Astyanax mexicanus: one gene and its partners. The protein of the gene in region 1 purifies or fractionates together with the protein of each later gene. This does not show direct contact. Links are inferred from orthologs where the notes say so. Each region holds a gene or a part of one and is shown on either strand. Other genes may lie near its edges. The genes, in order: hectd1, znf622 and copa.

What was found.
Region 2: the proteins of hectd1 (region 1) and znf622 purify together in Homo sapiens (affinity purification with mass spectrometry; 4 studies listed by BioGRID, with this or other methods). This does not show direct contact. The link is inferred for Astyanax mexicanus from reciprocal best matches to the Homo sapiens genes HECTD1 and ZNF622.
Region 3: the proteins of hectd1 (region 1) and copa purify together in Homo sapiens (affinity purification with mass spectrometry, with the first as the bait; 3 studies listed by BioGRID). This does not show direct contact. The link is inferred for Astyanax mexicanus from reciprocal best matches to the Homo sapiens genes HECTD1 and COPA.

What each region holds. Positions count from the first base shown.
Region 1 is NC_064421.1:45,406,377-45,416,485, forward strand, and holds the start of hectd1 (E3 ubiquitin-protein ligase HECTD1), read left to right. Parts: upstream 1-5,719; 5' UTR 5,720-5,940; intron 5,941-7,980; 5' UTR 7,981-8,029; intron 8,030-10,109. Other genes in the region: heatr5a (HEAT repeat-containing protein 5A), read left to right, coding at 26-177, 731-941, 1,629-1,930. UniProt on the Homo sapiens protein: E3 ubiquitin-protein ligase which accepts ubiquitin from an E2 ubiquitin-conjugating enzyme in the form of a thioester and then directly transfers the ubiquitin to targeted substrates.
Region 2 is NC_064415.1:54,476,737-54,487,724, forward strand, and holds the start of znf622 (zinc finger protein 622), read right to left. Parts: upstream 5,137-10,988; 5' UTR 5,022-5,136; intron 3,532-5,021; exon of another isoform or gene 3,529-3,531; 5' UTR 3,527-3,528; coding exon 2,971-3,526; intron 2,390-2,970; coding exon 2,114-2,389; intron 456-2,113; coding exon 293-455; intron 49-292; coding exon 1-48. Other genes in the region: zgc:110158 (single-stranded DNA-binding protein 3), read right to left, coding at 10,837-10,988. UniProt on the Homo sapiens protein: Pre-60S-associated cytoplasmic factor involved in the cytoplasmic maturation of the 60S subunit.
Region 3 is NC_064415.1:44,435,013-44,445,512, reverse strand, and holds the start of copa (coatomer subunit alpha), read right to left. Parts: upstream 4,207-10,500; 5' UTR 4,029-4,206; coding exon 3,989-4,028; intron 2,009-3,988; coding exon 1,895-2,008; intron 1,811-1,894; coding exon 1,737-1,810; intron 1,365-1,736; coding exon 1,284-1,364; intron 1,173-1,283; coding exon 1,096-1,172; intron 964-1,095; coding exon 854-963; intron 1-853. Other genes in the region: pex19 (peroxisomal biogenesis factor 19), read right to left, coding at 9,089-9,175, 9,939-9,983, 10,316-10,474. UniProt on the Homo sapiens protein: The coatomer is a cytosolic protein complex that binds to dilysine motifs and reversibly associates with Golgi non-clathrin-coated vesicles, which further mediate biosynthetic protein transport from the ER, via the Golgi up to the trans Golgi network.

The DNA of each region.
Region 1 (10,109 bases):
ATCTGTTTTCGTTTGTCTTTTCTAGATAAGACGGAGCTTGTTGTGGATGAGGTCACCTTGTTAACAGCACTCACTATCTTCCTGCTGTTTGCCAGTGCTGAGGTCACCACTGTTGAGCCACTGCAGTCACTTTGCATCAGCAAATTTCAAGCCAGCCTGGAGTCTAAGGACCCTGTGGTAAGCAGGGCATAGCTACAGAACGAGAAAGTGGACACTTGCATTATTCTAGTGTTAACATTTGTGGTTTAGTAATATTTTTGATATAGTTATAGTTTTAAAATAACTGTTAAACTTTTAAGAAGTGACATTTTATCATATTTTAGATAATAAAACATTATTAGCTGTGTAAAGATCGCTGGTTCGAAACCTGTTAATGTAGCTTGCCATCAGCTGCTGGAGCCCTGAGAGAGCACCATTGGCCTTGCTTTCTCTGGGTGGGTGCAGTAGATGGCGCTCTATCCTCACATCACTCCAAAGGGTGATGTGGATCAGCACAAGGGTGCATCTGTGAGCTAGTGTATCAGAACCGAGTCTCTGCGCTTTCCTCCGAGCATTAGCGGGGTGATGCAACTCAGAAATACTGCATCAGCAAGAGTTCAAACAGAGGCGGAGTCTGACTTCACATGTATCAGAGGAAGCATGTGCTAGTCTTCAATCAATGATTTAAAAAAGTTATTTTTGGTAGTGTTTCCTTTATCCACAGATAATGAAGTAATTTGTTTCTTCATAGGTGCGGAGCAGGAGTTTCCAGTTGTTGGCGTCAGTGTTTCAGGGACAAACTGCCGTAGCTGGGCCGTTTATTCAGGGATTGGGCACACAGCTGGTGGCTCATCTGCAGCAAGTGGAGAAGAGTCGGCCTCAGTCCTCTGCGGAGCTCCAGGCAGTGCAGGATGGAGTCCAAACAATGGAGGCGTTAGTGCTTGCAGCAGAGGAAACTAACCGTCAGTATTTTATTCACACAGTGTTCTTTACTTTAGTTCTTTAGTTGAATTGATTCTATGGATATGCAATATAGCACATCTAGAAAAAAAATTAAAAAGCTAATTTTGGCTCCCTATTACAGAGGAATTATAAAATGAACAATTAAGCAATAATTCAAGTGTAATACTGGCACTGCTGTGCTGCAGTGTAGGCACGAATCCACAGGCCGATTACATGATATAGCACAAACCTTGAGTGTGTTATTGCGATTATACCACAGTTTCATTATCACTGTTTATCGAAAACATTTTGAGTTAAAGGGGACGAGAAAATATGATTTTGTTTTTTTGTAAACACTCCGCGAGTTAAAATAGTTCCATTGCTGCTCTGTTTGTTTATGTTACCTGTATGTGGCGGAGTAATACACGGAGAGCTTCGGTTACAGTGAGTGCATTACCGGCTGATAGCGGCGCTTTTAGGACGCCTCTCAGCCAATCACATTGCAGTGTTGGAGCTCTGTTTCAAGGGGGAAAAGGTTGCACTCAAAATAAGGAGTAAGGGTACAAAAGAGAAATGGGATTAGACCCATTAACTACATCTACTGAACCACAATATCAGACTGCTGTGTATAAATGCATGTACCATTACACCCCTAATCGGATTATATGTTATATGGCACTAAATATTGGCGCTGTCTTTTGCTTTAGGTCCCCAGTTGGTGGCTGTACTGTTACCCCTCCTGGTCTCCTACCTGCTGGACGAGAACACTCTGGGCTCAGCGTCTGTGGCCTCCCGCTCTCTGCACGAGTCTGCTCTTAGAGACCTGATGCGACTCGGTCCTCAGCATTCCAGCGTCTTCAAATCGCTCATGGCTTCTGCTCCCCACATGAAAGCTCGACTAGAGGCAGCCATCAAGGGCAACCAAGAGAGTGTGAGAGCCAAAGCTACGCCTCCTCACGTCCCTGGCAAGACTGCCCCCAGCATCCAACTTAAGACCAACTTCCTGTGAATCTGAAATGTTTTTAGGGCCAGCAAAATTATTTTAATAATCCAAGAATAATCCAAGAATGTGGGTTGTTGTTGTTACAGTATTCTTATGTTAGTGTTTGTTTTAAAATTGTATTATTAACCTCTGTGAGGAACTTAATCAGCATAAAGGTAGTTTAGTTTTAATACAGACTGTTTAAGAGGAATCTTAAATCACATCGTTTTAGGAATGCAGCATGTTTTAATATCTTAGATTTACTTTGCATTTTTATTTTTTTCACCTACAAATAAAATTCATGGCTTTCTTAATTTATCATAATTTAAGTTCTAATATCTGAATACCTCAGTAACTGTTAAAACTGTTAAATGCAATTCTCTCAGTGAGACGAAAAAAAGCAGCTGGTTGTGAGAAGACTGTGCTTGCTTTAACTCAGTATTTTCTAATATTGCTTTTGGAGGACTAGCATTTTAAATTGTAGTGAACACCATTGTATTACCTCAGGAGCTGCTGGGAATGAATCAGTGTGCTATAGCAGAGGGCACATAATTAAAGTAAAGTGCAGGACCAGGACTAAGAAAGCCAGTGGGTGTTTTACATGCATTTAAAAATCCCTTCATTGTATTTCTGCAGTTATCTGATTATTCAAGTAGTCATGTAAGCAATAAGAGTGGGCGATATGGCCCTAAAATAATATCATGATATTCCATGGTATTTTCATGATGACAATACTTTTGGCGATATGACAAAAGACCGAATTGAAAAAGAAAAATATGTCAAGAGTACACAACTGCAACAAAATAAAAAATGTATTTTATTATTGCATACAAGATGCTAAAGGCACACCCCTAACTGAGATATTAAAACAATACAAGAATTTTATCAGATTTGTAACAGAAGTCATTGATCCAGAATGATCAGTAATGATACTAATAATAATAAACTCCAAATATCTCCATATATCCAGGATTAAAGTAAAATAAATGGCACTGGACAGATATAATCTTTCTCTAGTAGATAAATAATGGGGAAATGAGAACAGTTTGAATTTTTCTTTTGCTAAAAACAGCAAAAAAAGTAGTACCCTGATGATAATTAGGGGTGGGTGATATAGCACAATATTTCAGGGTATAATATCGTTCACTATATTCACAAATGTGTACAATATTATTGCGTACAATACGATATGGCACACCCCTGATAAGCAGCATACTCTGTTTTTTTTAGGTTAAGGTAAGGTCTTGAATCTAGATTAAGAAATCTGATAAAAAGAGAAGGATTTTAGCTCAGTAATCATATTCTCAGTCCATTTAAACTCTTAACCAGAGTATTTTCAGATTTATATATATAGATTTATATATAGTATTTTTGTGCCTGCATGACAAACTGCAAACAGACTGTAGTACCAGAAATAAGTGAGCAGTGTTTAATACAGCACTCGCAAGATGACTATCGGAGCAATGCTGAAACTGAAGGATTTAAATAGTCGTCTTCTATTGGCTGTATGTTCATATTGCATATTGTATAGTTTGAGTTGTATGTGATGTTTAATTCACATCTTATTCTGATAGTTAATTGGCTGGCAGTAAAGCCAAAATCAAACATACATATTACACATTATCTGTTTTCATGTAAAACATTGACTGGATTACCGTCGACCTCCAATATACTCCAGTAATCAGATTATTAAGTGCATGTGAACACACTCAGTGTCTCAGGTTTGTGGCACATTATAAAATTTCCTCAAATTTCCACTTAAGTTTAGGTCAAGTTACTACAGTACAAGCTACTCCACTGGGAGCTTATTTGCTTTCTCTGGCTTTACACTACGGCATATTATTTACAGCATTACGGTTAAAATGCACTTGTTTAACAGTTTTCAGCACAGATTGCTCCCTGTATCAAATGCATGGAAATACTACAGCCTGGTGCCTGCATTTCTGCATTGCATTGCTCCAATTCCAGCTACTTTTGTATTAATTACAGCACTGATACTCTGCAGCAGCTTGCAGCTTCCATGCAGTCAGACATGGTGTGATGTTATTCCTTCAATACTTAAGTGATGCATGAAAACCAGATAACTTTTCACAATTTTACCAAATTGCGCTGCTATTTTTTTAATTTTAGAATGTAATCCAGAATAAAAGGATACAATAATATAAAAGTGATTTAAGGTTGTTTTAAACTTTATAAAAATTTGTTTCTGAGGATATATTGTTAAGGCCGTTGAGATGAAATTGAGCTGGTGGAAATCTCCAGTCTTAAAGGATTGGAGGTTTACTAGAGCAGGAAAATTGCACAGCAAACAATTCTGCACTCTGCTCGTAAAATCATTTAGATTTAGAGTACGAAAATCAAACATTACTTATCAATCCAGTAAATTGTAACTAACCCATATTTTTTTTTCTTTTAGCTTTCGGCTCTTTCTTTTAATTGTTGGTACTTTTGCTGCAGTGAACATATCAATTAATACTGTATTTGTAACCATATCACACATTTTGTATCCTGTAAAAGAAACAGAAATGTGGTACAAAATTAACAGTTATTTTCTGATTACATGTTTGGAAGAATAAATTAACGTCCATTGTGTTTCCTTGCATGTTTGTTTTATATACACAGCAATCCACCAATATTTTAGCTAGTAGCACAGTGACCAGTGCATTGATATTGGAGCCTCCATACACATACTGTGAATTGTGGCATGGAAAGAAGGGGTATAATTGTATTATTACACTTTATTGTTTATCACTACTATGTCTAGGACAATATATGGTCAAAAATTCAGACACATTGGAGGGTTTTCAAGCATAAACAGCTTGTTTAAGATCATGGCACTGAATATGGTTCTTTCTTTTAGAACTGGCACTGTGAACACTTCCCCCTAAATTGACATGAATTAATAATAATGTACTTTATTATCATTTAGTTAGAATGTTTACGTTTTTTTATTACTCTGCTCTCTGTACATGATAAATAGGTATAATAACAATCCGAATGATATATATTTTTTAAATAATATTTTTAGTGTTGACTTATCCACTATAATATAATCAAGAGGAAAATGGATGATCACAACCAAGCTAACTGCTTGATTTTTTTCATTAGGAGTGGTATAAAGTTATCCAAAAGCAGTGTGCAAGACTGGTGGAGGAGAACATGATGCCAAGATGGACAAAAAATGTGATTAAAAACCAGGGTTATTCCACCAAATATTGATTTCTGAGCTCTTAAAACTTTATAAATATAACCTTGTTTTCTTTGCATTATTTAAGATCTGAAAGCTCTGCATCTTTTTTGTTATTTCAGCCATTTCTCAGGATAAATTCTGTAAATGAAAATATTTTAATTTTGAATTATGGGAGAAATGTCCGTAGTTTATAGAATAAAACAAACACAAACATTTACTTATAAAAAGCAAAATCTGATTCGGAAACTGAAGTGGTTTCTCTTTTTTTCCAGAGCTGTAAAAAGCTAGTTGTTTTTTTGAGATGTAAAATCTTACTATAAATATTGAACCAATTAATTTATTAAATGAAATTATTCATAGTGATTTATAAATTGGTCTAAATGAATGTCTAATGTTATAGCAGAATATATGGAATAAAAAATATCAGAAAATAAGACTATTTTTATTATTATAGTATTATATATTATTCGTATTTAATTGTAGTTTTCATACTTTCCATGCAGGCTAACCAAAAGGATTAAAAGTCGATTTGTACTAAAAAAAAAACCATATGTTTAAAACCAGTTTGATTCATTAGCACGTGTGAATCGGTTCAACCGATTTATTAAAAAGAACCGGTTCAGACGACTTATCCGTTGGGGAGCCGGACAGCGCTAGTTTCCCCCGGCGGCTCTCCATTTCGCTCAGAAGCGCCTCCGCCGCTCACTGTGACCTCTACGCGTGTTTATAACAGAGAGGGGATGAAGAATCCTTACTTATCGTCTTAGTTTGGGTGAAAACTCGTGGATTTGAATTGAGAACTTGGATTTTTCGTCTTCTTCTCGGCGTTTGGGGGGAGAGGCAGGCGGTGAGTGTTTTATTCTCGCGGCTCTGAGGCCGCAGGTTTCCTGAGTTCTCGCTGACAGAAGCGCTGAGGCCTCCGGCTTCCCACTAACTTCATACTGCGGGATCTCTTAGTCAACACAAGGCCGAGTCTGTTCGGCTTCAGCGTTTATACGGATAAAGTGCGGGTGTCATGTTTATCGAATAATGTAGATTAGACCCTGCTCACTAACTGTGTGCGTTTATATCAGGATTTGTCGGGCTGGATTCTCCGTTGTGTGGGTTTGTTTTTTAATAAACTGGGTAGTTAGCGTTAGCTAAGCTAGCTAGCGATAATCCTACTAGATAGATAACGCGAGCGAGCTAGCTTAGCAACCTCGTATGAAGTAATTAAACCAAACGGAGTTTATTGTATTTTTAGTTGAACGCTTGACATTAGTTTTCCTAGAATTAAATATCTAGAAAACAGATTTTGAAACGACGGCCAGTGTTGCCGCAAAGCGTCTGGTTAGCTATGCTAGCTAGCTTTAGGCCCGGCGTCGAGGATCATTAGTAGCGTCTGACTGTTGGTAATGTTAGCTTAGCTACTGTGTTATGTGGCTGTGGGGATTATTAAACGTTAATTAGATAAAATATATATCTATCGGGTTGAATTTTGTTTATGTAACTTACGTTGTAGTTATAGAAACCACTAACTAAATTAGCCAGCTAGTTAGCTCACTAAACTTTAGGAGGGCATAATTATTGTTAGCTAAAGATGTTTACAGTTCGGTATCAAGTGACAACCGTTTGTTAGTTAGCAGCTAGGTTAGCTTACCCAGGTTCTCTAGTCTTAATTTGTTAGCTATTATTATAACAAGGAAGCTAACTAACTTTACTTGCGTTATTATTTTAGCTTAAGTTAGCTAGGTGAGTTATCTTTAGGTTAGCTGCTGGTGGTAACGTTAGCAGTAAAACTCTCATTTTTACTCTCATTTTTTACTTAACTAGTTAGATAAGCGAGGTACACGTCGTGTATCATTAGTAACTACTGACTGTTAGGAATTACCTAATTTACTAACGTTAGCTAGCGAGTAATGCCACTGTTATTTGGCTGTGGGGATTATTTAATTAGGCAAAACAGATATTTAATTTATCGGATTGAATATTGTTTGTGTACGTTATAGTTATGGAAACTTAACGTTACATTAGCTAATTAGGTTAGTTTACTAAACGTCAGAAGGGCATAAAGTTAATTATTACTAGCAAAATTTGTTTACAGTTCGGTATCAAGTGACAAACGTTTGTTAGTTAGTTTTAGTTTTATTACTTAGCTAGTGAATTGGCAGCTATCATTACAGACAGCTAAGCTACTTTCTATGTAGCTAGGTACCTTGCTAGGTTAGTTAACGTTAGTTATCTTAAGGTTAGCTGCGATGGTAACTTACGTGGTGGTTTATTACCAGTAAGAAATATTTTACTCACATTTTTTCCTTCTTAGAAGTAACTTAAAAATAATAAAACCTACCGTTAGTTAATATTACCAAATGACTCGCTTTTTCACGTTCTAATTTTAAGTTAATTTAAAGCTAACTACTTAAAAAAGTGAGGTAAGCTACACGTCTAGTATCATTAGTAACTGCTGACCGTTGGCTAAGCTAACTAGCTAGTGAGTAATGTCCCTGTAATTTGGTTGTGGGGACTATTTAGTTAGCTAACTAGGTTTATTACCAGTAAGAAATATTTGAACTACTCCCATTTTCCTACTAATAGCTTAACATTAAAAAAACTGTATTATGACAGAAGTGACTCGTTTTTCACGCTCTAATTTGAAGTAAATTTAATCGCTAAATAGTTAACTTATGTTAGATACGCGTGGTACTTTACACGTCGAGTATCATTAGCTACTACTGACTGTTAGCTAACCTAACTAACTAACTAGCGAGCAATGTTGCTGTTATTTGGTTGTGTGGATTTGTGTATTTAGTAAGTAATTTTAATAACAATAAATTAACAATAAAATGTTCTACTCCAAAGTAACAAAATAACTCTCCTTTTAACTCTCTAATTTGAATTAACCTCATAGATAAGCGAGGAGCTCGGCAGAGCCAAGCTGTTTAACTGTGCGTGATCAGGTAACGTTAACCTTAGCCAAACACTACTCCTATACACATACACACACACACACACACACCAGCTAAACAGTGTGACCTAATTTTAGGTCGTTGCATATTTTGTTGAATGACAGCTCTTCTCACGAGTTAAGCTCTGGGTGGTTTAAGAACATATAAATAGTCCAACACCTTTGCTTGCTTCATTTTGTGCCCAGTTTGTTTGGCCAACACATCTCTGGGGAGAAGTTCATGTGATGTTAAGCTGGTATCATGTTGACGCTCGAGTCATGATGGCTACAATCATGTATCTAGTATCTGTTTGAGTCATCGGGTTGGGGGATGATCAGAAAGGCCAGTCAGTTGTTGACTTTATTCTCTAAACACTTCTTACACATGTGTAGTTAGTGTCATCACATTTAACTGCTGTGAATGGATCAGGGGTGAAATGTGTTTTTCTACTTATTTTATTCTTCTTCTTTTTTCATCACAAGAGCTCCCACTATCTTCCTGCTAAACTTATAAATGTTCAGTTTTATTTTGACACCTCTGAGGCTTGTTTTTCAAAGTAACAGTAGATGTCTCATTAAATGATTTGACTATACATAGGAAGTAAAGTATCATTTTTGGAACCTTTTGAATTCCTGTGGATATAGCAAATTATCAGCTTATCAAATTTCAAAGAGGTTTATTTTATGTGAAGAAGCACCCAAAACATGCATGATAGAAAGTAGGTTGTGCCATATTGTACAGTATGCAATAATATCTCCAACATTTTTGAATATTGGGAACAATATTATACCCTTAAATATCATGCCATATTACCATCCCTAATTATCACACCAGGATACTACTTTTTTGCTTCACCTACTGTCTTCAGATGGAATCTTGACCTTTTTAATTGTTTCACTTTCATAGATGTAGTTACATATGTATTTTTTGTTACTTTTGCAATAATACACAAACTTTATATTGTAGCAATTATAATGCAGTAATGTTAGTGCTATTTATATTTTTAGATTCTTAGATTAAGAGGACAGTAAAATATTTCCAATTTATAAGTTAACCTGCCACAAAAAGTCATCATCAGACTCCACCCTTCGGCCCTACTACGCAATGATTGCACCACAGTTGAAATTTTCTTGAAAGGAAGTTTTAAAGGTTATGTTTAATGTATATATTTAACTCACCATGATCAGTATGTATCATCAGATATTAAGGAACCAAGCTTAAGCACTGGCAGCTCCTGTGAGCAGAGCTTTAGCCAGTATTTTCTTATTTGAATTGTGCGGTACATCAAGAAAATCTGTGTGGGATGTAGCCTCCGAATCTGCCCACGACCATAATGCATCCAGCAATACACTTCGGATAAAACATTTTTTAGTTTAAGCAGTTAAGGCAGGTAATATTTTTGTTCTTAATAAAGTGCAACAATCATGCTCATTGTTTGTTATAACAAGATCCAAAAATATGGCAGTCTCTCATTGTGACCGTATGAGAATGAGATTACTAATATCGGCTGTCAAATAAATCTGTTGTATGAGAATAATTATCGCTTTTTGTATTTTTTGGTTGCAATTTTGAAAAAGGTATGGGAAAAAAGTACCGTTTGGGTATCGGTACTGAATTTAAGGTAAAATTACTCAGCCCTAGAGTCCACAAATCCACAAATGTCTTTTCCTTGTTACAACTGAGTATAACCACTGTATTTATAAAAATTAATGTGTAGTTTCGGTGTTTTATGGCCATTTTCTAAATAACAAGCTAGTAGTTTGTCTCAGTCACTAGCTAGCTAACTAACTTTCCACCTAACTAACATTCCACCTTAAATGGTGCAAGGGATGGCAGAGAAAAATAAAATAAACCTAATAAAACCTTCCTATCAAAGATAAATTAATAAGTGGACAATAATAATTAATTGCTACATCTCCCACCCTTATTCTGAAGACATACAGTGCCCTAAAGTTAACTGGTTAACCAGCAGCTAGTTTGTTGAACTGTAGTGCTCCACTGCTAGAGCTATATCTGTATCGGTGCTTCAAAGGTTTCACCCCTTTCCCCTGTAGCTCTGTTCCAAGTGGAAGGGTTACACTCAAAAAAATAA
Region 2 (10,988 bases), on another chromosome or scaffold:
TCCTTCATCTCCACATCTCCTCCCTCTTTAGCGTCCGGGTAGCTGCTCCTAATCACCAGCACACACAAGTGTTTTAGCACAAAGTATATTTTATTTACCTGCTACATGAATGAATTTTTTTTTTTTTTTATAGTCGGCATTGTTGATTATGTCAACTAATCATTGCAGCCCTTTTGTACTGTATAATATAATGTATAAATTACACACTGTGAAATGGGTCATGCTGACTGTATCAGTGGGTGTGCAATGGGTGCTATTTGTAATAATAAAAAACGCTAACGTCTCAGTGCACCTGAAATCGTAGAAGTCGGCGAACTCCAGCGCTGCGTCTCCGTCAGTGAAGAGTTTGCAGTGGCTCTTGTCCGTCATGTGTGCCTGAACTGCCTCTGTGCTGTAGAACGACTTGCCTTTTTCATTACACCATAAACACACCTTCCCAAATCCAACCTTCTCTCCTATAAGGAGGGGAAAACACAACTTATGAGCAAATTTAATGTAAAAATTTAACTGTCGTTTTTTATAATTTACAGGATCGTGTTGCTGTAATATAACATCCAGCGCTTGTTTGACTTTGAAATATTATTATTATTTTTTTAAATATAAGAATTACAGTTTTGTTTACTATTAATCTAAATAAATTGAAATCTGAGGTTTGGAAATGTATTTTTAAAAAATGTGATTTTTTTATGTGAGCTATTATCTGTAGTAAAGCTGTAGTGCTGGAACAGATGGTTTTACTGCTGTTACTCTCTATTTCAGCATTTACACACTCACACACAGCACATTCACACTTTCATCATTATAATAACTAGAAAAAAGACACAGATAAAACACAGAGAACTCTTTAAAATAGAAGGTTTTTTTTTTTTGAGAAATTACAGATGAAGCCAGAGAGCTGTGAGTACTGTTTCATACACCTTCAAAAGACTCTGATACAGGAAGAGTCACGTCTGGCTGACCCACATGGAAACAACAGCTTCAGCCTTTAGCTCAGATTAACATGATTGAACTGAGACTCAGTTTCAGCAGTGAAGAAAATAATTAGTTAGTCTGAGAGGTAAAGTGTTACGCAGTAATATAGTCATTATTAAGATAAAGATAAAAAATAAAAAAGCAGCTTGTCAGGATCATTCAGCACTGTTACTACACTACTAAACCAGAGTGATGTTCTAAAACTTTTGACCGGGAACGTAATCCAGGGTAAATACTAGTGCTGGGCGATATGGGAAAAATCATATATCACAATATGGAATTTTTTATATCAAGCTAATAACATCATGTAAATAATATCATGATATACCACATTTATTTATGTTTTTAGTTATTCTTCGAAATATATGACCAAAAAAAAAAAAAAAAAAAAAAATATATATATATATATATATATATATATATATATATATATATAATTGCTTACTTTTTTCCAAATTTATTTCAAAGTGACATTAAACCAAACTTTCACAAATGAGAATTACGACCTTTTAGTGCAGCAGCATATATGTATCAAGTGAAAACAGATGAGGTAGATGCAGTAGCAATGTTTTTTTTAATTATACAAGTATTTAAATTGAGTTATCATAATAAACTAATAAATAACATTTTTTAAAGTATCCGTCAAATAACGTACAGCAGTATCATGTCACAAAACCACATTATGAAGCTTTTTTTGCAAAGATTACTTTATTATCACTTATATAAACATAGTTTATGCGAAGTGACCACGCCAATACATTTCATCGTAGCCTACTTTATATATTTGCATGAATAATTAATGAAATTACTGTAGAAACGATAGGGATAACCCCACAATATTTATCGTCATATCGCACAGCACTAGTAAATCCATAGATAATTAATGTTGAATCTATTGATCTATGTATATTGCTGTTGATCTATATATCTATGGTTGCTGCATTTATGTGGTACTAAAAATGGAAAAGTCATTTTTTTTTTTTAATGGCTCTTCCATAAAGGTTATGTGTGTACAGGTGTTGCTGCACAGTAGAAAAGTGCACCATCCATCCAAATTCTGCTAAATCCCTCTATTTATATGCATATTACACACGTTCCACATTTGCCTGCATCTAATTGGTTTAGTACGTCTGCAACTCACCCAGATATGCGATGAGTCCTCTCAGATCTACCAGGTATTCTATGTCAGGGATGAAGAAGCTGTGTGTGCTGGTCATGTGAGCCATGTTCTTGCTCAGAGATCGTGAGTGGTGAGAGCAGAACAGACAGTCCGTTACTGAAATGGTCCCTGGAGCGGCTGCTGTTGTAGCTTTTCCGTCCTCCTCCATCTGCTCCTCTTCATCGGCCTCCATGTCCTCATCATCGCCGTCATCTTCAAATGCATCAGCATCCTCGCCGTCAACATCCTCCCACTCTTCTGAAACAGATGATGGATATGAGTACCTGCTCTACTATTGGCTTCGAGTAGAAGAGAAACTTAACAGAATCTTATTTTAATGCAATATTTGGCAACAGGACAACTTCTAAGTGAAACTGTAGTGAACTGTAGTAAAAAAAAGAAACAAGTGTAAAGGCAAAATAATTTACACCAAACAATGACTAACTTATTTGAGATCACATTGCAGTGTTTTTGCTAGCAGCTCAATACTGATTCGGGCTTTACGATAAATTATATATTAAACATTTGCGGTATTAAATTAAATGATATTTCTCTAATTGAATCGGCCACAGTGCTGTTTAGTGGCTGTGCAGTGTCTGGCATGCATTTAGCATATCTTGTGGAGGAAAGAGAAATAGTTTTAACCCAACTAACTGGATAACCCTCTCAAGAGTACATCCCTCAGCCAGTACAGTAAGTAGTTATTAGCACAGCAACACAGCAGAGCTAAGGAACACTACAATCCACAATCCACCAAAAGTGCAGTTAAGTTAGGTTTGGACAAAGAAACAAAACAGAGGGACAGAAGAGTAGAGAAGGTATCAACATTTAGCACCCACCTTCCTCCTCCTCTCCTTCCTCTCCCTCTTCCTCTGCAATCTTCTTGGCCTGTTTCTCAAACCACTGCAGCCGAGGCGCTTTGGCAGGCCGTTGTCTGTCCCGCCCCTCTGAGGGCGTGGCTTTGGAGGGGGTGTGTCTCTGCTGCTCCCTCAGCACTTGCTGCAAAGCTTCGTTCTGTGCATCCTTGTCGAGCTCCGCCCCTTTCTCCAGGTTCTTCTCGTTCATTCGCTGCACCTTCTCCTGGGCGGCTGCCAGGGCCTTCCTCTCGGCCTGCAGGTGTTTGTTGGACTGCAGGTGGTTGGTGTAGGCGTTGGTGGTGGAGAACTTCTTGTTGCAGGTGCTGCAGGTGGAGAAGCTGGTCAGGTTCTGCTGCTGCTGCTCGGCCGCCGCCCGCTGAGCCAGCACTCGCTCCTGGAAGTTCTCGGCCGTGACCGGGGGCATGTCGGCCACTTTGCGCTTCAGGTTGTAGCGGTGCCAGTCGGTCTTGTAGTGCGCCCGCTGCACCTCGCCATCCACAAACTGCACACGGCAGCTGATACAGGTGTAGGCAGACATTCCTGCTGAATTTAACCAAAGAAACAAGCTTAGGATTAATAGGAAATATTACACAAAAAAACACAAAAATGTAACTGGAGGACTCTAGCAAACCCCTATTGTTGCTGTCCAATAAAAAAAAAAAGTATCTCTATTTTTGACTATTTCTAGTTTTCTACAAAATTCGAACACAAAAATGGTCCCTAACACTGTGGCAAAATCTCTTGATAAATTGACAAATAGAAGTTCTCAAAAATGACCTGAAATAAAGTATTTTTACATTGACTTACATTGTTAAAAGTAAGGAAGGTTATTATTCAAATGAGGATGTTCCATTAGAATCACTATAAAGTTACCTTAACCAAACCCTCACACCCCCATGTTACATATTTTTTTTTATTTTAAAATATAACTGACAGAATTACTGTATACATTATACATTATATATATATATATATATATATATATATATATATATATATATATATATATATATATATATATATGCAAACATTTCACTATTTTGTTTGTTTTTGTTTTGTTTACTAGAGATGCACAGTTAATGAGAAGAAAATGAGAAGAATTAGAAAAAATTGAAGAATTAAGAAAAAAGAAATGTGAAAAGACCAAACTATTTATTCTAAATTATATATGTCTGCTGGGATAAAAAAAAATGGTAAATTAGTTAAAACATTTGATATTCAGTATTTTATCTTTGGCCAAATGTTACATTTTGTACAGATACTTTTTTTCTAACAAAAAAAATATATATATATTTTCCTTAATTCCATAATATATATATATATATAAATATATATAAAATATATATTTTCCATAATTTCCATCATGAATGTTAGGCTAGAATTAGTCTGTTATTATAACATCAAATAAACCTTTAGAGTATATTGTAAATTTTTATATTACATTCGTAAAAATTATTTATTCACAAAGGTTTCAGACGCAAAACTAAACTTCCCTACCGATTTAATTGAGTTAAATTAATTTCTCAAATTGTTAAGTAGCATCAATACAAAAAAAATAGAAAAATATTTTGCTATTATGATCTATTTTATAATGATTTAACGTAATGTTATATCGATTAGCCTTCCGCAATTAATGTAACGTTATAAATATTGTTATTAATATTTGTGTTAACCTTTCTTTTATGTTGTTCTATGTTGTCTAGATAATGCTGTGTATTTTCCTGTTTTATGAGTAACGTTATGTTGTATCCATGAGTAACGTTACTTAAGTCTGTACCAAATAATATAGATATTACGGAAGGTTTATTTGTCTGGCGTTATTTGTACGATTTTTAGATATTTGCTTGTTAAATACATTAAAAAAGCTAAGTTAGGTTAGCCATTAGTTAGTTAGCTTAGCTGGCTAAATAATAAACAGAGGAGGTAACGTTAAATTTAGATAACACAACATTGTCTACATAAAACTACATTACAGTGTAACTTATATAATAAGTTGATATAAGATCTTATGTAGGGTCAGAGCGTCTCCTCACCTGTTTATAAACGCTGTTCAGCTCCTCCACTGTGTGTAAATATCCTCAGCTCCAGCCTCTGTAAACCTCCAGCAGCTCACACGAGGCTGACACAGCGCTCAACCCGGACAGAAACAGCCCGAGTCCGGCCAGGTTCAGCCCACAGCGCCGCCAGCTGCCTGGCGGACCCCGGGTCTCCTGATCTCAGAGTTGCCAGGTTCGCAATTTTTTACGCCAAACTGGGCTTGTTTTTAAGTCCAGTCGCAGGTAATAAAAATTTAGTCATTATAACGGCCGTCAAAAAACTAAACAAAAAATTTGCCTTTTTATTATATAATATAAATAAATAAATAAATAAATATTATCTTTTTTAATGATACTGTATAACCTCTTATATTGTTGTTTGTGCTTCTGTGTTGTTTTTCTGTAACTGCTTCTGGCTGCTAAATTTTCTTTAGGATCAATAAAGTATCTATCTAAACATCCGGAAGATGGATTACAACATTAAGAATCAGGAGAACATTATTTTCTAATTATGTTACTATTAAATGTTCTTGACTGGGATATAAAATGGTTATAAAATAACTAATAAAACACTAATGTTACAATATTATTAATGACTACGATAAATAAATGCCTTATAAACAAAATACTAAGTCGTACACTTATAGTTGTTTTGATATTTGCTTCAAAACGTGTGACAGACGGCGGGTTTTAGACTAACTTTGGGCTGGACATTTTTGTTGGACCTGGCAACCCTGCCTGACCTGCCTGATCCAGACCCACACATGAAGAAAAAACATATGAAATTATTAAACAAACCAGAATATGTTTTATATGTTACATTCTTCAAAGTAGCCCATATCTGGTGGATGTTCTCAGTCAGTTTTATGAGATAGTGGCAAGAACTACTCAGCTAAGTAATGAAAAAATACTTTGAAGAAATGAAAGTCAGTCAATCTAAAACTTTTCAAGTATCTTTTGAAAGGATCCTTCACTGCAAAGACAATCAAAAACATTACAATGATGAAATTGGCTCTCATCAGGATCGTCCCAGGAAAGCATAATAACAATATCCTGACTGATCTGTGTAGAAATTAAGACAAATACCATCTTACACAAATGTGTTAAACGCATACAGCCAACACGGTTAGCAAGAGTACAGCCAACAAAAGTGGTTAAAATATTTTAGTATTAGTGATCTGTGTACGTCTTCAGGCTTAAAAAGGCATTTTAATCAGTATTATAATGGAATGACTGCAGATTCTGTCCAATATTAGATTTTATATAATTTTAGGCCAGAGCATAGACTGTGTATAGCTGGACAGAGCATCGTCTCTTAAAAGTGAAGCCACCACAGGTCGGGCGCCCCCTGCTGTTCGGCTGCAGAAAGCTGTGTAACCCCACCCATCCCCATAGGTTTCAATGGCAAAACAGACAACTTTCAATCACGTTTTTTTCTAATATATTGTAATTATATCTTCCTTTATTTAAATGTATCAGCTAGTGTAACCTCTGCTTATATTGTTAAATTTTTATATCCCCACAGAATTCGGTTTTTAAAACTTTATTCGGCTCTATTCATGGTAAAAGGGCTGCTTATGGGCGGTACCAATAACAGACCGTCAGCTCCGCTCCGCCCCGCTCTGCAGTCTGTGACCGCGAGGCAGCCCTCAGGGGCGGGGTTATTTAAATGAGGAGGCGTCTCTCCACAGCCTTTCTCCCTCCTCTGGTCTCTACTGCGCAGACTCTGGTCTCTGAATCGCCAAAATGGTGGAAGATTTTGGCTTCATTTTCATTGAATGAATGGGAACGGCGACACGGCATCCATCTTTATATACAGTCTATGGGCCAGAGAATGGAAGCATGCAATTCCTGAGATCCTTAAAAAAAATAGAAAGCAAGAGTTCTTGGTAAAAGGGGTTACGTTATTTTATTAGTCTTAAATTTGTATCTACAACGAAGGGACACAAGCAAAAATAAGTGACGACTCCATGAAAAACAGAAACAAAAAAACATAAAAAAACTAAACCAAAACATTTATTATTGATGCAGTTTTCCCATTTTTTAATAAACGACATCTTTCAGTCTAAAGAAAACAATTTACAATATAAAGAAACATACAAAGGACTTCTGTTAAACTACACGAGACACGGAGAAGTCCCTAAAGACGAGGATCCGAACTAGCCTAACATGAAATACAAAGCAAAAACCGAGGAGGCCACTGCTTCATACTCAATACTGCTGCTGCTGCTTTTCTTGTTGTTTTGTTTCTCATAAAGAACGACAAAAGAAATGGCGCAGGAGGAAAACCACCGTCCCCATCATTATTGTGTGTGACCTCATCTACCCTGCTGGCAAACAATAGAACCATCATGATCATCATGATCATGATCATCATCATAAAGATCATCATGATGATCATCACGAAGCACGACGGTGGGAACGATGGCCGGTGAGTTTTACACGGAGAACAAGAGCAAGGACAACGGCGACCTTAGAAAAAACACTTCTTCCAAACTTCTGCCAAACGCCTCCTCCCTAGTTCAGTTCTACTTTTTTACAAGTACGCTTTTTCTTAATTTTATTCTTTTTTTTTTACATTTTTACTTTAAATACATTAAAAAAAAAAAGAGAAATCCTTCATAGCAAAGTCTGTTTGTGGTCCCTTAATGTTTTGGTGAAACGCTGTTCGCTGCTTTTATTGGTTTCGTTGGTTTTGTTTCAACATGATTTCCATGGAGGCGAAAAAAAAAAAATTGGAAGAAAAAGAAAAAGCATAAAAAAAAAAAAACAGTCCAGGAATATTTTGCCTTTTAATGAAAATGTTGACTGTATCAGTCTGGACATGGTTTCCCTAAAGATAAAAAAAAAAAAATAGAAAAGCATCCAGGAAAAAAAAAATAATAATAAAAAATGAAAAAGAGAAGTTAAAGTTTTCCCAGTTTTTCAAAACTAAATAGCAATTATTTGTCAAAAATGAAATCTAACATTAGCTAAAAAAAAAGGGGGATAGTGAATAATCTCAGGTAAAAAAAAATAAACGAGAATATTCACTTCAGACAGAAAAACCCTTAAAAAAAAAGGAAGATATGAGATTTTAGATCAAAAATTTAAAAAATGAAACGGGAATAGTATGAAGCTCTTTTCTGGGGAAAAAAGGTAGCATGAATATTTTTGCAGAAAAAAAAAGAAAAAAAAAGAAAAATTGCACCATTTTCTTCTGTCCCTACTGATACTGGTTCTAAAAATGAATGACAGAAAAAAAAACATAATGAACACATAAAATAAAACAAAAAAAATCACCTCCATGGAAAGAATGTGACCCTTAAACAGACAGATGCAGATCCTGAGCTCTCGGTGAAGGCTGAACGTCAGTCCGTCGGGAGTGAGGACTGAGGAGGGACTGCTGCCTCTTAAAACCTGGTACCTTTAGTTTAGTTTTCCTTTTTTTCCCTTGTGTTTTGTGTGTGTATTTAATAAAGGAGTCACTCAGTATAAAAATGGGCTCGTCTTACGTTCCCTCCTTCTCCCTCCTGTTGGTTGTGTGTTGGTGTTACAGCGAGAATAGGAAAGTGGGGACCGTCAGGGACAGGAGATAGGAGATAGGAGACAGGAAGGGGATCAGATCAGAGGACTACACGGTCTGTTCAGCTATAAAGATGATTTTTTTCATTACATCCTTTTCAGTTTTTTTTTTTTTTTGTTCTTCATGTTTTCAGCGCTGTGTTGATTGGTTGTGACAGAAATATCAAAACATGTCAATGATATCAAAATGCATTGTACAGTATTTACAACAACAGCCAAACATGACAGACATAAAAGAGACACGCTATGTTTGGGGGTTTAGTGTGTTGAGGGTGTTGGAGTGTGTGTGTGGGGGGGCAACCAGTTGAGTTACAGTTAAGTCAGATTTTTTCGTATATGTATACTGCATGTGGGAGTGTGTGTGTGTGTCTGGGAACAGGTTAGAGGGATGCTGTTTTTAAGCAGGGGCATGTGGATCCCTCATTAACTCGTACTGGCCATTCCGCACACCTCTGCTGGGTGGCTTATAGGGTATAGCGAGAGCACTTTTTGAATCTGAGAACACATTTTGCTTAAATTTTAAAATTTAGGAAAGATAAACAGAAGGAACATAAACGTAGGAACCTTCAGACAGAGAACAGTCCAGTTTTGAGAAGGTGGTGGTGTTGCGTTCTACGTCCAAACAGTAGAAGCCTGGCTTGGGTGGACGTTACAGCTTAGCAGATCTAGGTAGTCTTGATTTCGGCTTAAAAAAATTCCCGAGCCGCGCTCCGAAAGGAAAAAAAAAATCACAGGATTCAGATGAGTCTGGCTAACACAACATAGCACAAGGTAGGCCGAGGAGTATTTACAAGCAGCGTCCGTCCGATTTCCACTCCTGTGGTCCTGCATCAGAACGTCTTGAGCGCCCAGAACCTCCAAGAGCATCAGCGCAACCCATTCTCGAGCACAGGGAGGGGTTCAAACAAAATGTGTTCCAGGAGCCGAAGCCGGGATGAGGCCTCTGTTTAACAGGAAAGAACCAAAAGTCTGTTTCTTCCCAGAGACGCCTCGATTTCGTGAACATGCTGGAGGAAAGGGGGCCAGAAACATGGCAGTCAGAGTATACAGAGGGTATCAAATCAGTAGGAGGTATCTTAGACTGGAATATTTACATGTGTACAATATGTCCTGAAGCGTTGCGTGTTGCAAGACATACAAACAACAACAATTCAATAAAAAAAAAAGAACAGAAAACACTAAAAAAAAAACAGGTAAAATAATAAATAAAAATATGACTGAATCGATTCGAGTTATAATCAGAGTTATAACAACTATATATATAGTACCACAATAATATGCCTTTCCCGGGTTTCGACAATGAGGGGCACAAGCATTTTCCTCTTTCATATTTCTTAAAAATATAAAATAAAATAAACCAACAAACAATAAAAGGACAACTAAAACAACAGACTCTCTAGAGTCTAGGAGTGAAATTACATCTCTGTACGAACTCTCTAACCCCATGGTGTTCTCTCAAACAGGACAGAAACAAAATTCCCAAAAATCAAGATTCCCCCTCTTAAAAAAAAAAATAAAACAAATTGACTAAAAACATAAAAAAAACTAACACAGAGACCTTAAAATAAAAACAAAGACAAAAAAAGAAAAACAAAAAAGAAAAGAAACAGCTTTCACATCCCATTGTCTCAAAAAACAAAACAAAAAACAAAAAACAAAAAAAAGTGTGCTTACTGTGTCGTCATTTTCTTGTATGTGGTGTGGTTACTGAGAATACATATAATGTGCCCTTCTGAGGAAAGAAAAAACAAATACCCTAAAATCAATCACCATCATTACAATATTGTTACAAAATAACGACAAAAAACACAATAATTATTAATAATACAGTACATACACGAAAAACAAAACAAAACAAAAAAAACATGAAAAACGTCCGTAGCCCATCACATCTTCATGAGTTTCACGCATTTGAAAATGTACACGATGTACACGATAAAACGAGAGGACGAGGCGAAGGATCGCAAAATCCCGACGTGGAGAAACAAACAAATAAACAAATAAAACTACTGCATTTATAAAGAAACGACAGAAAATCATCGAAACAAGACACGATGAGGGGTGAGTTTAAAAAGGAGTGGAGCAGCCCTAGACCAGCGCTGCAGCCTCACACTCTCCATCAGTCCGTCCTTGCATCTGTGAATGTGTGTGTGTCTGTGTGTGTGTGATTGTGTGCGTTTGTGTGTATCTGTGTAGAAATACATATCTATGTATATGTATATATACACGCAGTCCTGTAGCCCCCCTTTCAGTGTCCTGAGCCAGAGAGAAAGCCCGGCAGGCAGGGCGAGTCAGTCAGCGTTCTCTTCCTGTGGCATGGGGGGGGCTGCTGCTGCTTCCTGGTGCCGGCGGCAGCGGCGAGTTTGCACGCCCCGGGGTGGGCCACCTTGGCCTGCGTCC
Region 3 (10,500 bases), on another chromosome or scaffold:
AGCATACCAGTCAAGAGTGCACTTCCAGTTTTAAAAATGTAGTGCTCTTTTTCTCTCCCAACTCATGCATTGTTATAATGGCCCTGTCTTACAGTCCATGCTACAGTAACACTGCTTTAAAGACAGTTTGTCAGAAACGTCGTCTCAGTGTGTCACTGAGAGTAGAGAAGGCAGTACAGAGGGTCAGGAGTTCCTGAAGTTTAAGACACATGCTTTAAATTCAAGTGTGTGAGTGCGTATGGAATGTTATTGGGTTATAGTAGTAGATTAATATTCAGCAAGAAAAAAGAGAAGCAAAGAAAGACATTAATTAATGACTTAGATCTCTGTTAAATCATGCAGAGAGACAAACAATTCTCACGGACTAAACTGAACTCAAACCTTCACCCACTCATCACTGCGCACAACTTTGTAATCACCTCACTCCCTATAACATTGTTATACAGAGTAATAAACTCTCTATGTAGATTCAAAGAGGCCATATCTGCACTTTTATTATAAAGGACAGTGCTAAACTGCTGTAGGTTAAACAAATCGGGCTAAACTGATTAAATGGGGCAGTTCATAATTTGGAATCTATGCATATGTCCAATACAAGCATATCAAAATAATTTTACATTTATTTAGTTTAATGAAAAGAGTGATTCCTGCTTTCTGTACAGCAGTGATTCAGTATTCAGGTTCAGGTTTGGGTGTGCAGTAGCTGTGAGAAGAGTTTATGTAAGCCCACAGAGATTCTTGCCTGTACACACACAGGAGAGGAGGAGATGAACACTACCTCTCTCCTCTCTGTCCACCCCAAACCCACCCCCACTCTCCCCAAACACACTCTGGCCCGTCCCACAGCCCTTACCGGAAATATCCCACACGCGCACGGTCTGGTCCAAACTGGCCGACACCACTAGGTCCTCCGACGGGTGGAACTGAGCGCACATCACATAATGATTATGGCCAGTCAGAACACTAAAAGAAAAAGAGAGAGAGATTATACACTGTTAAAAAAGCATGCATGGCTTAAAAATGTGGTACTTAAAAATGTGTTGCATTGTGGAGTTAAAACCGTGCATAAACACTCAGACAGACTATCACACTCACCACACACAAGTCCTGGATTGCCAGTTCCAGATGCGGATGGTCTGATCATCTGAGGCACTCAGGATCCATGGGTACTCCTGAAACAGAGAAACACAAATACAGAGGTTCAGAATGGAGCTCAAAAAACATATTAAACCTGTAATGTGATTATGATTGTTATATAAAACAGAGTATAGAGAACAACTCACATGGTGGAAGAAGGTAGTGCGGATGTAGTCCAGATGACCCAGCAGGGTGAAAAGACAGCGGCGAAGTTTATAATTCCACACCTGAGACAGACACACAGACACACACACATAGAAGGAGAGAAAGGGAGAGAGAGAGAGAGAGATCAATTGCATGTAGATATTGATCTAGAGTGCATCAAACTGTATAATGTATTTAACTACACTGTGTTCACCACATAGAGCCTGTGGTTTCACCTGGGTGTTGTTTCATTACAGACTATAAATCATCAGTTGATTTGTGTTTATCTGTGTTAGACCTTCTCTGATCATTCATTCATTTTAACAATTTTAACACTGCAGTGACCCTGAAATAATACCAGACAGCACCTTGTGATGGTGAAAGAAAGGGGTTTCTAATAAAGTGGACATTAACTCTGAAACGGTACTGCAACCCATAAAGCAGAAATTCCAGACCTTAATTTTGTAGTCGTCCCCGCCGGAAACAAACAGAGGCTGCTGTTTGTGGAAGTCAATCCCTCTGACTGGCCCTGCACAGCACAAACACACAGGTGTCACACTGCAGGCACAGATACAGTACATTCAGAGAGTAACAACTGGCAGTTTGGTCTTACCATCGTGTTCGTCAAACTTGTCAATGAGGGTGCACATGCGGTAGTCCCAAAGCTGAATGACCCCATTGTGCAAACTGGCGAGGATCCAGGGCCGCTTTGGATGGAAACTCAGCCCTGAAACAGACAATGGGTGTGAACCTATTTTAAACGAAAGATCCAGTTTTTGATTTGAAGCAAATACAGTTATGCCTTAGATGTTACAGTCTTTTTTATCAGTGGTTAATGGTAGTTACATATGTGTACTTTGCTACTGTACTTTTGAAATATTCCGGGCAAAAGTGCCGGAACCACAGCTCTGATATATCAGCTAACAGACTCCTGTGCTGACCAACACATACAGGAGTGATGTACAGAGGAAATGCCATCAACCCAAAGCCTCTGTTGCACTCTGATCCAACAACAGTTTTAATTTCAAGCAAAATATCTGTATAAATTAGGCATGCACAATGACATCAGAATCGGGTAAATATTTTAAACTGATACTTGCTGATGTAGACATTGACCATGCTACTTTACAATTTTATTTATTTTACAATTGTATTTCTTTTTATTACTTTCAATAGGTCTATGCCTTTTTTAATCTATTAATTTCAAAATGAGGATTCAAAGCTGTTATCAGTCTATGTAAGGACCAGTTAACGTAAATAATGTGAAACCAATGATGGAGACACCTTTCATTTTATTCACAGCTAAAAGATGAAATGTAAGGAAAATTAATACTACATTTGTTGCTAAAATTATACTAGGTTGTTTAGTCTCTCTGTTATAAATGTATATTTCGGGATCAACAGATATACAATACCAGTCAAAAGTTTGGACACACCTTCTCATTTAGTGTTTTTCTTCATTTATATATATTTATAACATTTCTTTTATACATTTTAGATTAATATTAACATTAAAACAATTAAGGGACACATATGAAATTATGTGTACATAGCAAACAAATAAAGTGTTTGTCCTCCACAATCCCCTGACCTAAACCTAAGTGAGCTGAACTATTGTTCAGCACCTATAGGAACTACTTCAGTACGCTTTAAAAAACTATTTAAAGTGACTCTACTTCATGAAGACACTGAGACTAAAATACCAAGAGTGTGCAGATCTGTCCTTAAAGCTAAATGTGGCTGGTTTGTAAAACATTTAATTTCACATGTTCCTGCACAGCTTTAATCTTTTCAATATTGCATTTACAATTTACAAAATAATAAGAAAGAAAACACTTTGAATGAGAAGAGGTGTGCCCAAAGATTTGACTGTTGCTGTGTATATGTATAATATTGAATATCGGTCTGAATTCTCACCTAATATTAAAAGTCTAATCGGTGCAAGTTGTGCATCTGTATTTTGAATGTTACAGAAGAAAAACACACTCAGGAATTTGATGCTAAATTTGTCATTCGAGTTAAATTCGAGAGCTCAAAAACTGAAGAAAAACTGACAAATTTGACAACTGAAAAGTTCCATACTTCACTATTAAGTGTATAAAATCTGACATCCATTTCACTTTAATTATATAGATAAATTAAACGGTAATATATTAAAGCTGTTTAATTGTACCGTGACAAGTCTCATACTTAACATTAGTTATGTAACTACAGGTTTAAGGATGCTAGAACTAGGCAGGGGAAGTTAATTAAGTTAATTAATAAAGTTAAAGTTAATTAACATAAATGCTTTTTAAGTAAATGTCGTTTTACATAAATATAAAAAACGTACCTACGTTAGTTAAAAATTATAACTGTATGCTATTTAAAATAATATTACACCAGCTGTCTTAAACTATTAACCCTTTTAACTCTAAAAACACTATAAGCTACAGAGTCTCACTGTGAAGCTAACCTGTGCTAAGCTAAAGCTATGCTAATCAGCTACCTCCTGATTCACAGGCCTCAGTGTTTGTGAATGCAGTTTAAACTCCTGATATTTCACACTATTTAAACATTTAAACAGAAAAAAGCACTTTAATAAGCCTGTGATTACCCCGATACATGTGTTTACGGGTGTTTTCTTTAGCTGTTTAGCTCGGGGTATTCTCAGTTAGCCTGTGTGATGCTAGGCCAGCTACCCGCTGCGGGTCCTGACTGAACTCACCCTTCACTCGGGCGGACTTGGTCTCGAACTTGGTCAGCATGTCGGACGGACTCTGCAGCCTCGCTGAGGGTCGGTTCACTCCAGTAAAATAATGGAATCGCCGCTAAAGCTCCGGTGTCGTAGCCGGTCTGATCCAACAGCAGCGGGCTGCTGGAGGTGCTGCGCTTCCGGAGCTGACACGTCTACACAAACCCGCTCACTCACACTCAGCTCCAGCGCTGCAGCGGAACCTCCACGTCACACTCAGTGTGGGCGAGTCCCAAATCCAGCACATGTCCCCTACCGAGGGGACTACACGGAAGAACCCTCCTTCTTCTTCTTCTTCTTGTTGTGGTTTTATTCCGGTTGGCAAACCAGCGTATTTGGTGCATTACCGCCACCTCTGGACTGGAGTGTGGATCAGGAATAGCTGACAACCCTCAAAACACACACACACACACACAAAATAAAAATAAAAATAAAAATGAAAATAAAAGGATAAAATGACTTATCCATTAATTCTTGTTAATTAATCATGTGTTTTTTTTATAGGAAAACTCACATGACCTGTGCTCAACTGCATTAAACTCTGAAAGTTAAAAGACGCCTTTTCTTTCTGTAGTTGGCTGATAAGTAGTTGCCTGTCTGTCTGGTATTTTGGACAATGAATCAAAACATGTTCTACAGTCTCCTGGCTGTCGCTGCACTCACAGGTCCCATCAACATCCTTCTTCATCTTATAAAGTGTACTTCTGAGCTTTGTGACCAAACCTCATTCTGGAGAACCTTCTTCTCTCTGTTTGTGTTTCTAGGCCTCCCCACTTCATTCTGAATGGCATGGTACTGCCTCCCTGTCTCTCCATCATTCCATATGCGTTGCCATTTACCACAGGTCCTGGCCTTGGCTACACTTTTGATCTCAGCCTTACTGTATTGCATTTCAAGCTCAACGCTGTCCTTCTTTAAGGCCTCCTTTGCTAGCTTGTCAGCCAACTCGTTGCCACTGACCCCTATGTGCGCCGGTACCCATAGAAAAACTGTAACGATTCCAGCCTTGGCCAGATTATTTGCTCTCTGCACTATATCATATATAAGGTCTGGCCTCGAATCAGACTGGCCATTCCTTATGCTCATAAGCGCTGAGCTGGAGTCAGATGCAACCACCACCTTCTGTGGCTTGTTGACCTCAACCCACCGTAGTGCCAACCATATTGCAATCAGCTCACCTGTATACACTGCCAGGTTATCATTCACTCTTTTCGCCATTACAGCCTGAACCCTTGGGATGGCATAGGCTACACCAACCTTTTCATCCATTTTAGACGCGTCTGTATAGATAACCACTGATTCGGCATAGTTTTCCCCCATGTACCACATCACGGTGCCAGACATCCCAAGTTGCAAAAGTTGATTTCAAGGAGGTTACCCAGGTTACTCAGTTTTTAGCCTACACTAGATTTACACTTCATTAAATTACTTAGTTTTCTTTATCAGTAAAAAGGGCATACACGCATTTTAACTTGGCAGTTGAATACAGGACCTTGTGTTAAAGGTCTTTAGGCCTACAAATAAGCTTTTTGAGAAAAGAGTCTTTTTGAGAATACAGGCTGTTTGTATATAGTTTGTTTGTTAAACTATTAACTTTTTTATATTTTAATTTAATAATCATATTTGTATTCTTACTTATTCCTATTTCCACTTTTGAGTATTATATTCACATCCTATGTCTAGATACTTTTTCACATAAAAGAGTTGTTGTATCAGTATAATTCTAATTTAACCAAGGTGGGGTATTGAAATTAATCACAATTAGATAATCTTTATTAATTTACATAAGCAAAGGATATTTTTTTAAAAAAATAGTATGCTTTAGTGTAAGTTTGAAGACACATGAAACATTTCTATTTTTTCCCCCCTCACACATCAATTTTAGCCAGTATCATTAGCTTAAAAAATATTAACATGTCCACCCGTTATGTTCTATTGCCCCCCCAAGCAAGTCAGTCTAGAACTAGGGCTGTGGTGCATACTATATTTACAAGGTCATTCAGGATTTTAGCAGTCTGATATATTGTTTTTTTAAGTCTGCCAGTTTTTGAAACAAAATGAGAATAGGAGATAATGCCCTGAGAAATAAACCTAGTGCCATTTAACTATTTCAACTAAATATCAAAAGAACAAATGATACACAGATTTGTCATATGCAAATGTTTATTCAGTATTGTCATTGTCTGCTGATACCTGTGCCTCTTGGATATTATAAGATTCACCATTGCACTGCCCTTTATCTGTTAGATTTTTTTTTGTAACTTTATTATTTTCCCCAGTTTTCACACTACCCCCTGTGAGGGACGATACAAAAAAGCTTAATGAACACAAACGGACAGTACAGACTGATACAAACGTGTAAAAAAAAAAAAAAAAGTAAATTAAGAATATGTTAGAGAATAAAGGCATATTTTAAAAAAATTTATATTTATCATCTACAGTTAGATGATATTCTGGGTTTGTTAGAGCACCAGCAGGCGCTAAAAATAGTTTTATACTGAAAAATTTACTCATTATGTCAACACAGAACAATATCATATGTTTAGGCATTGCAGATTAAATGAGTAAAGAATTTAAACTCCAAGTATTAACCTTTCAAACCTCTGCATGTAATTCCAGCATCAGCAACCAGTCAGCTCACAGTAGCAGTAATGCTTTAGCCTTTACTGCATAAAACCTGTTTACTACAGAAAAATGAACAAGTTTTACTCTCTTGCACATATTAAAAACAAGAATTGTTATGCTCGATTAGCTTTTTGTGCTAATAAGCACCTCCTCCTCCCCAACATTAGTAACTGATTGTTTTGTAAATTAAACTGTTAATTTCACACAGTGCATCTCATAATTTTATATTTTAGTGTATAGTATGTAATTTTTATAATAAACTTCTCCATAGAGATGAATGGTGGAGTAACAGCTCAGCACATTGTGATTTATTACTCCAGTCTGAAAGTGGAATTTCACTAATAGTGGGACATTATAAAAATGGTAATGTTGTATAAATGTAATAGTAACAAAAAGTCACAGTTTTCAAGGTTTTTTCAAATAAAAAAATTGTATTAATGAAATTGATAAAAAATTTATGCTGTGTTCCATCAGAACCAAGTTATTAAATGCAGAGTATTCTAATAAGGACCCCTGAATGTTTGACTTCTAACCCAGTCAACTCGGGTGTGATCTTATTTTCATCTCAGACATCTCAGCAGTGTTATTCTAGCAGCTCTTACTGTAAACTAAATAATCACACATCAGATACATGTCTTGACTGAATGACATTCTGGGGTCAGAGATCAACAATGTTCATTTGATTTTTCACTGAACATGTCCCTTATTTAGTTATAAAAGAAATTATCTGTTGCACACGGCTCACCAGATTACATCACATTTACAACTGAACAGAGGATCTTTTCAACTGATACAAAAACACAGAGAACCAAAGAAAATTTGATTAATGTTTTTTATTTCTTCACTGTAGTTGCGTATTCTGTTCACAGTGTAGTGGACAGGTATAACTGTGTACTGTGAGGAAAGGTTGAGCTGATTTAAGTGCGTAGGTGTTCAATGAACTCCTGAGTGTTGAGGTTATGTGCTCTTCTCTCATTGAAATCTATGCTAACAACCATATCTACATACCTTAAACTCAGCTTTCAAAATAAAAGCACAATCTTTAAGAATTTTAATTTGAACATTCCCCCATTATCTGAGGTACAATGGTAGATAAATATCATTAAACACAACTCAGAGCTGAATCAGAGCATAATCATCTGTAAAATTACACTTTTACAATGAACTGGTATTAACAGGTTTGTAATGGAAGCAGGGTGTGTGTATTAATTCATCCCTACAGTATTTGCAGCATTTTAGTATACAGGTAATTACAATAGACAATATGGGTTTTCTATCGTTAAAGAAAAGCCATTTAGTCAAACAATGCTTACAGTAGAAGTCAATGGCTATGTAAGGGGGTGCTTTATTCTTTTTTGCTGCATGTTTAGGAAATGATTAATTACCAGACACAAATTTAGGTATTAAAGTCAAATAATAATAATAATAATAATATTTAATCAAAAATACTTATAATGGACAGCAATGGAACACAATTTTAGCATGGTCCCACTTGCTTCTATAATAAGTCAGATTCAAAGCAACATTGTTAAAATTATATTAGTCTGAGATAATCAATCATTTGCTACAAATAAAGCAGATTAGGATGAACATCTTTAAAGCATCTGCTCACTGAACCCTATTATAAGTGAGTTTTAGATAAATGGTTTTCTGTTCTTATCCAGGCTCATGTTGAAATGATTGTCTGTAGTAATTGACCGTATGCTACTGCTAATGCTACTGTACAGATTTCACTTTTAAAACCACTGGATTATACCTTTAATATTGCAAAAATGCCTAATATGTCCACTTGTAAAGAATTTCAGAAGGCAAAACAGATCAGACGCATCACTTCTATCCACTTTTAGATGATCAAAACATCATCCAGCATACAATTCACTGTAATCAGACAAAAGGAAAATACACAAGGCTACCTAAACCATGCTAATCAGGCTCACTCAGGGAGAAAAGTGAAAACCACTTAATTTTAAAGGCTGAAATATTAAGAAAATCAGTTTTGGTCACTGATTAATTATGAAAAAGAAACGGAACAATGATTCAGCATGTTTAAAAAAAATAAACATGCTGAAAATATAATGTATAAAAATTATTAACCATTTAAATTACAGCTTATTAATTTCGCAGTTGCTATAATTATTGATCCAGTGTCCCTCCTTGGAGTCACACTTTAAAATCCCATTCGCTCACCTCCCACGGTGTTCTCATCTCTATCTTTAACGGAACAGGCACGCGGTTCTAGCTGCTCGACTTGTCATCAGGTGAAAAAGTGCAAAATTAGTTACTATGAGCAAGTTGAACCACCAGAGTAAACCCCACCCTCACCCGCAGAAAGAATGTTACTGGGCTGCTCCAGCGTGACTACAGGGAACGAAGAGTGAGCAGAGGAGGGGGAGGCAGGTTTAGGGTTTGATGGGTGCAAACACACACACACATACAAACACTGCAGCCTCACATCACTGAACACTGATCAGCCCCGGCCGCACCCAGACCTCCGGGCAGGTGCAGTGACTCCGGGTCAAAGTTCAAACCAGGTGGCTAAGGAGACACAAAACATACACATTACATAGATCAGCATGAGAAAGGATGTATTAAAGTATAGTTCAGTAACAGAAAAGAAAATAAATTACCCCACCATAACTACAACACAAGACAACAAAATGTTTAAATAAAAGATCTAAGGTCCTAATCTGTCTATTACTTTATCCCATAAAGTCCACGTGTGCTGATCTACAGTACTTGGCCTGTGGCCTCGTGCCTACAACCGCAGCACAGCAGCGCCAATACTACAGGTTATAGCACTCCCTCTTGTGTATTACTGCTTAATTACAATTTTAATCATAAATGTTTACAGTTATGTGCCCACAATAACAAACAAACATGAATACGTTGCTCACTGAATTTCTGATTTAATTTTAAACTTGGCAACAACTGGGCTCTAATGGGTTTAAGTGGAATGGAAAACTTTGATATGAAGCTCCAAATGACTTTGGAAAAGCATGGACATTGTGGTTCAATTTCCCTCTGTTCTATAGGAATAAAACAAGACTTTCTGCCACGGCTTGGAAATGAGGGGATGGGTTGAAAGCTACACATCATACTGCAACCAGCCAGCAGAGGCAGTAGATCTGTTGTGACCTTACTTTTCAAAGACTTTTCAAACTGCATATGATGCATCATTCAAACACCAAACATGTTGGCTTATCAATTACATATGAGGTGAGCTGATTCATTATGGTTATCTACTAACTAATTTTTAACTATTGCTTCAAAGCCACATTTGCTCAGAAAGGTTACTTACTGCCTCTCCGGCGAGCTCTTTTGGTGGCTGTCCCAGATCCTGCAGCTGAGGAGAACAGCACACAGAAAAAGTTACATTTTGTCACTAAAATGTGCACTTGCAATTTGCAACTTTTTTTTGCTGCTGAATACAAAATAAACATTTGCTCTGTTCCAGTATTATCTATTAAATATAATTAATTTTATTCCAATCTTGGATAATTAATAGTTCATTTATGCATTATTAGTTCATTAGTGCACTATTAATGAACATTACATGTTTGATTAATCTGGTGAAAATACTACTTTTTATAATCGCAATATGAGTCCTTCTGATGAATAAACATTTACATAGATAAAATAGATAATTGTGTACATAATAAGGATACTTTACTTTACCTTCTGCATGAGTTCTAGAATGTTTTCAAATGTGCTCTCTTTTTCTCCTTGTCTCTCAAACTGGTTGCAGATCTCCCCCATTATTTTGTGCTGCTGTTCGTACCGGTGGAGGTCGTCAGGTGAGAGGGACTGTCTGTTACTGCTCAGCCACTCTGGGTACTATAAAAAACAAACAAACAAACAAA